2 linked regions of the Oryzias latipes genome follow. The protein of the gene in region 2 purifies or fractionates together with the protein of the main gene of each other region. This does not show direct contact. Links are inferred from orthologs where the notes say so. Each region holds a gene or a part of one and is shown on either strand. Other genes may lie near its edges. The genes, in order: acad11 and G2 and S phase-expressed protein 1.

Region 1 (3,819 bases), on a different chromosome or scaffold from region 2:
TATATTGTAAAAAAAAGAAAAAAAAGAAAGCTAATGTGTTTGTGTCCATAGTTCCTATCACCTTCAAATGGAATTCATCCAAATGTAGACCACACATCAAAGGAGTGTGAAGATGAGTCTTACATTCATGTGGTCAGTTTGTTTTTGTAGTTCACATTAAAAATAATTCCTAATAAACACGTGTCATTGGTTTCAATTATAGCAGAAAATGAAATCAGTTTAGTTTTAATTTTATTCATCCACTTTATTAATAGTTATTTTACAAAGAAGGAAAGTTTGGGGTCAAGTTTAGCCAAAATAATCCTACCTGCATCCAGTCGTAAACGTAAAAAGTGCCTTGAAATCAATAAACTTTCAGAAAGTATTATTTACAATTGTGTAAGATGTATTTTTACAGAATTAGAATGCATAAATGTAAAAAAAAAAGGCCACCTCCAATCTAATACTGCCAGAGAAACTCATTTCAACAAACTTCTTTTCCCATCCATTTAGGGAAGTTTCTGCCACTTTGAAACTTGTCATTTCTAATTTCAACCAGGGAAAAGTGAGTTCTGCTGTCATTTATAGCTTAGCCTGCGCTTTCTTCAGCTGATCCTTCAGTTCCAGGTATGCGATGGTGGAGAGGTGCACCTCATCGGGTCCATCTGCGATGCGCAGAGTCCGTGCATACGAGTACCTGAAAGCAAAATGTCAAACTTCAAACAAAAATCATCTTGCTGAGGTTTGAAAATAAAAAGAACGTACATTTGTGCTAGAGGAAAATCCCCAGACACCCCTGCGCCTCCGTGCACCTGGATGGCACAGTCCACCACCTTGCAGGCCATTCTAGCTGCCGCCACTTTGATCATGGCGATCTGTGAAGAGTTCTGTTAGTTTTTAATGGACTTTTGCATTACACGAAACAGAAAAAAACAGCTTTACCTGCTTGCGAGCAGCCCGGCTTCCAAGAGTATCTAGAGCTTTAGCAGCACAAAGCGTCAACAGACGAGTTTGTTCTACCAGAAGACGGCACTCTGCTATCCAGTGGGCAACAACTTCCTGAGCAGAAACCAAGCAGAAGATAAGGAGTAACCCAATATCCACCCAGAGGATGTCAACAAACAAAGACTTCCAGCACATCTCTGAAATGTAAATAAAAAAGGCTTCAACTCACATGCTGGTACAGCTTCTTTCCAAACGTGCTTCTAGAAGCTGCCCTCTGACACAACAACTCCAGGGCCAACTCGGCTAAGCCAACCGCTCTCATGCAGTGGTGCAGCCTCCCTGGCCCCAGGCGCCCCTGAGCGATCTCAAACCCTCTGCCCTCCCCTGAGAACCACACCAGAGGAGCAACAACCGCAGGAGCGATCAGCTATGTTTCTCCACCAAGACAAAGGGGATTTTACATTTTTATTTAGAAAAAAAGCCGAACTTGTACCCAGAATGATGTTGGATGAAGGGACACGGACATCTTCAAAGAGCACCTCGAAGTGTCCGCCATGGATGGCGTCTAGACACAGAACAGCTTCCATTTACTTTGTTATTAATAAAAAAAAAGTATTTTTTCTAGATGAACAGCAGAATCCTACCGTCCTGTCCGAACACTGTGATTGGTCGGATGAGCTTTACACCAGGTGTGTCCATAGGTACCAGGATCATACTGTGCTGACTGTGCCTAAAATACAAGACAGTGAAAAAAATGGTTTATTTTAGAGGCTTTAGCTGGTGACGACAAAGTTTGATGCTTTCACATGTGAGAGCTCGCGTGAGTCATGCTGTCTTTGCAACACTGGGTGTGTTTGCAAAACAAGGGGGAAAGGGAATGACATTAGCTTGGGTGGGGCTCTGGTTTAGACTTTTTCTATTAGACCCGCTTCATGGTCACAAATCGATTTAGTGAGTAAAACAAACTCAAAGGCTCAAATAGTCAGCACTCCTGGTTAAAGTCAGGGAAGCCATGAAGTGCAGGAGCACATGTTTGCAAGATGTTTCAATACTGAGGCAACAAATTCAATAATCAGTCTTTACTGCGGAAGAGGAGCTCAGAAAAACAACCCTGAGCAGAGGAAGTGAGCGTCTGACCTGCTGAGAACATCCTCAGATCCACTCCTGCACATCACAATGGCCACTTTGCAGAGGGGGTTGCCGGCACCTGTGGGGCACAAAGCAGCGATTTTTAAATTTATCTCTTTTTATTTTATTTGAAATGGTTTATTTCAAGCAATCAACGCAAGAATAATGCACAAAACAATCCAATCAGTAGTTATACATTCATACAAAGACTTATCAATTTAGGATGATTAGAGATTAAATCAAATGTTGTACTACCACTCCTGTTCTACCGTAACCATTTTATTACATGATTTATCATGTAATAATGTTATTTTATCAGATATCCATGCCTTACCAACACAGTTTCAGGTCATTAAGGTTCAGTATCAATAAATCACAGGACAACGATGAATCACTTAATAATTATGTAAAATGGACATAACTATTTTGTATATTAACATACCACATACAGAACAGTTATCTAAAATATATTCAAATTATTTTAATCTGATTATGATTAAAAATAACACTATATCAGGACAAATAGACATAACAAATCATGCCTTTTGGGACAGGTGAAGTGATATAATTAGAGATCAATCAGTTTAACCATTTTCAATGACTGATTAAGCTATTTTATTATTATAATTATAAGGAAATGCTGTGAAATAAAATCTGTCTTGTGGCTCATTTGTATTCATCATCGTCCCCTCTGCTTTGGCCAAACGAACAATGGGACCCACAGTTGTTCCCTCTGTCCTTGACCGTTTCGTGACTCAAATTTGCTGGGAAACGTTGGGGACTTCCTGCCTGGAAAGTGCTGAACCCGGAGACGGCTAGAGACAGTTTACGGCCATGAGAGCAGAAGACGCCACATGAGGATTTACATTTCCTCACATGCATGTTTTTCTGATTTTAGCTTCGGATTTAAACCAGATTGTGTTTCTTAAAAACAAAAATAAGACCTTTGTCTTTATATTAGAAAGTGATGGAGAATGGCCACTAGAGGGCAACATAAATGTCCTGAAGTATGAGTCAAGAAACTGAGAAAAGTAGATTAAAATAGGAATGATCAAAAAATGAAATGTTTTTTTTTTATCGTAGAATTGTTATTGCTTTTGATGTTTTACTGTTGACACATTAGGATCCATGTAGTCTATTTGGATTTTTTAATTGTTTCTGTTTTGAACAATTGTTTTGTTGCCTTGGTAGTGTTTTTTGTTGTATAGTTGTTTTGTAAGTTAGTGGGGGGGGGGTTTCTGGTTGTTTAATTGTTTACCTTTTTGCTTTGCTGCTGAGATTTCCTCAACTTTAAAAAATATATTTTATCATAATATTTGTTAACTTTCTTTTATGTTTTTAGTCATTTTTTGACTAAAGCTGATATTCATTAAATATACTGTATACATAAAGTATTGTTTATTTGTATTGTTGTTGTTTTTTTGCCTCACAGAAATGTAAAAAAAAGAAAATAAATCACCAAATTCAGAATATTTTGAAATTCCTCATCATGAGATCCAGACAGGGTGAGTAATTGTTGAATTTCTGGTCAGCTGGAGTAACCGTCCCCTTCGGCCAGACGGGACAGATGGACACCAGATGACAGACTAGAACAAATGCTCGTCCTTAATTAGTATTCAGGGATTCAAAATACAACTCAGTGAGACACGTTTGGTCTGATTCTAGAAGCAAACTCCTCCACCCATAGAACATTTAGGAAAGCCTGTTTGGCTCCAGGGACAGATAGTTTTTTTTTATATATATTCCTGAGCCCTAAAGTCATGCCTG
Region 2 (4,401 bases):
GCTTTTGCCCGCAGGTTAGACCGCGGCTGAAGCTTGGCTCCACCCACAGGGCTGGAGGTGCTGCGTGCGGCAGAGAGGGGAGCGGCCGAGCTGCGCCGGCTTCCTCTGGGCAATTGGAGCTGGATGGCAGGCGGCAGCTGCTTTGTGGGCGTGTCCTGCACGCAGAAAGTCTGCCGCTTGATGGGGCTGAGAGCGCCGCTCGAACTACAAAGCACTTTCTTTTTTGCCTCAGAGTCCTGAAGAAACTGTTCTCCAGCGATGTTGGCGTCCTCCACGCCGCACGCTTTTCCATCCTGCAGTTGATTAACCAGGGAGTGGGCTTCCTGACACACAGCATCCAGCCGCTCACCTGTGAGTGGGCTCCAGTTTGAAAACACGTGATCTCCTTCCAGAAGCTCAGAGGCTTTGCTCACAGAAACACGAGACTCTTCACCCTCCACTGGACCCTCAAAAACCTCGTCTTCATCATCTTTAGAGCTGCAGAAAACAGAGAGGCCCAGAAAAGGTTCACAGCTTTACTGCTGCTATTGGGATTTTTTGTTTCTTTGTGACATCATTCAAAAAACTTGGCACACAAAGTGTGAAAATCTTAAGTAATCGTGGTTGAACCAAACAGTTATACGAACGAGCAAAAGTTAGAACGTATGAAAACTATTATAGTTCAAATACTTAAAAAAAAATTAAAAAGTACAGAAAAAAGAAATCTTTGACCCCCCTTCTGACTGTTTGATAAAAACCTAAATTAACAACAAAACTATGCTTTTTTATTTTTGTTATGTCCTGCACTGCAACGACAATACTGCTTTCACAATTCTTTCTTAACGCGAGTGAGGGAAAATTTCACCCCCACTACAAACTAAAAGAGGCTACATTTGCACACACCAGTTAGCATAGTTAGCATCTTTAGTGATACGTTTTCTGAGAGTTGATGATGCTGAACACAATGCTAGCACTAATTTTCCTATCTGTGCTAAAAGTGCTAGCCACGTTAGCACAGTTAGCATTTTTAATTGTTCTTTAAGTCGTGTGATGTTAAAGGCTGTAAGCCACAAACTCCCTGCTTCAAGCCCTCAGCAACGGGGAAGGGAAGGGGGGTGGGCTTTACTCTGTGCCAACAGTCCCGCCCACAACTCCGAGGTGAAATTCTAATGAACTCCTGCCGCTCAGCAGAAACTATGTTCTAGAAAACCACTTTTTTCCTTTAAATTTGTGGCTAAAAACAGCTTCATCTTATCTAAAAGACCACTTGGCAACACTTTGAAAATCTATTAAAATATGATCAGAATGGGACTTTAAAAAGGTAAACGTTTTGTTTCTCTGGACATTTACCTATTTTGTAATACATAAATCCTTTTGGAAAATATGATTTAACAACATTTTACAAACACTGAAGGATTTTTTTTTAGGAAATGAAGAAAAGCAGGGAGACCCGTCTCTGAACATCTTGGATCAAGAGACGGTGAGCATCAGGCGTCACGCCGTCTTTCAACAGCCCTGCAGGAAATGATTCAAGTCTGTAAAACAAACCCCTTGTATTGAAATGATCTGGACTATTGAACAAGGTAAAGACGTTTTTGTTCATATGAAACCAATGTTTATGATAATATCACAGCACAAACATTTGAGATAAAAAGACAGAAAAACTCAAGAGTAAGCACAGAGGCAAAGCCAAAACCTTAAGTTTCTGAGCCTGGCTGAATAAATCACTGTATTTTTAGAATTAAAAAAAAGAAAAAATCTAATATTGTAAATGTTTCACACATACATTTCTATGTTGTCCTCTATAAAAGACGTTTTTTGTGGGTTTATCATGACCCATTAATTCTTAATTTTGATATTTTTACTTTTTTTTGGTGATGTGACACTAACTTTAGAAAAAAGTGCAAGACTGAGGAGATTGTGTTTCCCAAAGCTGATCAATATTATGGATCATCTTCTGTCTAACTAATGAATCCAGTGAATGTTTGTCTCTCCTGCAGATTAATGCTTAGTTTAATGGAAATATTATCTGTGTGAGACCCATTTATATGAAGAAAATTACCACAAATTTAAATGTTTAAATGGTTCATATGATTGATCAAAAATGTATTATAAAAATCATGTTTCAAATCATGTGAGCTCCAGGGCTTTTACGTTGCCCCTAAATCCACTGGTAGAATTTAGCATTAGGAGCTAAACTACAGTAGAAGTTGAGAGCAGATCTGATCCAGAATGCAGTTCCTTAAGAAACGTTAGAAAAGTGGGAAAATTAACAGAAACATGAGAACTCAGCTGCTTTTTAGACTCGAGCGTTTAGGTGTTCACTGACAGAAAACGGACGTCATTCATTCACCCGCGCCCGAGAGCCGCAGATCTCGCGAGATTCTTACCTGGCAGGGGAAAGAGAAACGTCGAAATCAAACTTCTCGTCTTGCAGGAAAAGCACATCTGCTTTCGAAACTAGAACCATATGAGACAGATATGCAAAGAATAAACAAAACAGCAATAGGGACACACAAACTGACAGCAGTTTTGTAGGCGTTGACTCACCGCTCTTGGCTTCAAAGGCCATCGTTGTTTGATCTCCTTTATTTATGGGAATCATATTCACAAACATTTATTAAACATTGCTGTTTTATACGTTATAACTGTTTGACATTTGGTATCATTTGTAACTGAAACCAGACTTTGTTTTATTATATTGATATGTATCCTCAAAGTTGCATTTCAACGTTACGCTAAGCTAACTAGCTAGCAAGTTTTCTAAATGAATTCAATAACCGCGAACAAATCTGAGTTCTAAACTCTACAATGTTACAACAAGTACGGAACAACTTAAATCATCTGTGTAAAAAAAAAAAAAACACCTTACCTCTGAAGTTCTTTTTCTTGTATGTTCCCGTTCTGTCCCACATTCAAGCTGCAACACAAAAATACTTCAACAAAAATTTAAATTTGCTGCCTGTAGGTAACGTGACCGAGATGCGCTCTGCTATTGGCTGAAAGGACACGTGGTCCCACAACGTTGAATTGTGGGGCTTGTAGTACTTTTTTTTCGGTTTTCAGAAACACACTTTTATTTCAGACTCAGATGTAGTCCATAGAAAAAAGATACAAATATACATAATAAAAAGTAAAAAGATATAAATTAAAAAGAGTATAATCGCTGTATCCAGTGTTTCCTCAGGGCAGAAGTGTAGCGGCATGAGATTCTTTTGGGATCAGTCAGAGACATGATAATTGAGTTCTTAGATTTGTCCAGGCTTTCCTTAAGGCCATATGTAGGCTTACGCAGTAGTGCTTCACAGGTGGGGATGTGAGCATCCACAAATAGCTGACTGGCTCTGTACCACCGGGGCACCTGTAGCAGAAGCCTAAAAGCATCATTATAGGCCACTAAGAATTTGTGGAATGTCCCACGTCCATAGTTCCACCAAAGAGGGGCCGTATACACAGGAGTGCAGTAAGCTCTGAACAGCGAACACTTCACTTGAAGAGAACATGCACTGAATTTTCTCATCAGCATGTTTGCCTGAGCATAGAGTTTACAGTACTGTCTCTGAATGTCTCTATCATCCCTCCAATCATCAGTAATGAAATGTCCAAGGTATTTGATAGATGAGGTTTGTTCCAGAGGCGTTCCACAAAGCTTAAAAACAGGAAAGTTTACATTTCTGTTGTCTTTGGTCCTTACAATCATTACTTTGCTTTTGGAGGGATTGTAGTTTATATCAAAGTCTCTGCCATAGTCAGAACAAACTTTTAAAAGTGTTTGTAACCCAGCACTGTAGGGGCTAAAAATGACAAGGTCATCAGCATACATAAGATGATTAAAGGTTTGACATCCAACAACACACCAAGTTTTGCACAGATTCAGATTAGTGGATAGGTCATGAATATACACATCAAATAGAAATGGAGAGAGGATCCCCCCCTGTTGAACACCATTGCTTACATAAAAAGGATCTGATAAGACATTGCCCCATTTGACTACCATTGTTTGATTAGCATACCAGAAAGCCAGGAATCGTACAAGGTATTTGGGCACTCCTCGATTAATTAGCTTCTGAAAAAGCTTGAGGTGGTTGACCCTGTCAAAGGCCTTAGTGGCATCAATAAAACACAAAAATACAGATGTATTCAAATGCAGGTATTTCCCAACTATTTCCTGGTACGCGTAGATACACATATCAGTGCCGAGGCTTTTTTTAAAACCAAAATGATTCTCACTTGTTAAAAGATGCACTTCGAGTCTAGTCAATAAAACATATTCTAAAATTTTTGAAATGTTGCTGGAAAGGGCAATCAGTCGGTAATTCAACAGACTATTTAAACTGGCAGTCTTGTCTTTGATGACGGGAATCAATACAACTGAGAGAATTGAATCAGGCAGGACTCCATGGGTTAAAAAGCCAGTGAAAC

The links.
Region 1: the proteins of G2 and S phase-expressed protein 1 (region 2) and acad11 purify together in Homo sapiens (co-immunoprecipitation; 3 studies listed by BioGRID and IntAct, counting the BioPlex papers as one, with this or other methods). This does not show direct contact. The link is inferred for Oryzias latipes from reciprocal best matches to the Homo sapiens genes GTSE1 and ACAD11.

The regions. Positions count from the first base shown.
Region 1 is NC_019878.2:19,067,431-19,071,249, forward strand, and holds the end of acad11 (acyl-CoA dehydrogenase family member 11), read right to left. Parts: intron 2,132-3,819; coding exon 2,062-2,131; intron 1,655-2,061; coding exon 1,569-1,654; intron 1,490-1,568; coding exon 1,418-1,489; intron 1,309-1,417; coding exon 1,154-1,308; intron 1,039-1,153; coding exon 922-1,038; intron 855-921; coding exon 745-854; intron 677-744; coding exon 562-676; 3' UTR 224-561; downstream 1-223. UniProt on the Homo sapiens protein: Acyl-CoA dehydrogenase, that exhibits maximal activity towards saturated C22-CoA.
Region 2 is NC_019864.2:3,483,916-3,488,316, forward strand, and holds the start of G2 and S phase-expressed protein 1, read right to left. Parts: upstream 2,956-4,401; 5' UTR 2,895-2,955; coding exon 2,852-2,894; intron 2,566-2,851; coding exon 2,530-2,565; intron 2,440-2,529; coding exon 2,370-2,439; intron 478-2,369; coding exon 1-477. UniProt on the Homo sapiens protein: May be involved in p53-induced cell cycle arrest in G2/M phase by interfering with microtubule rearrangements that are required to enter mitosis. Overexpression delays G2/M phase progression.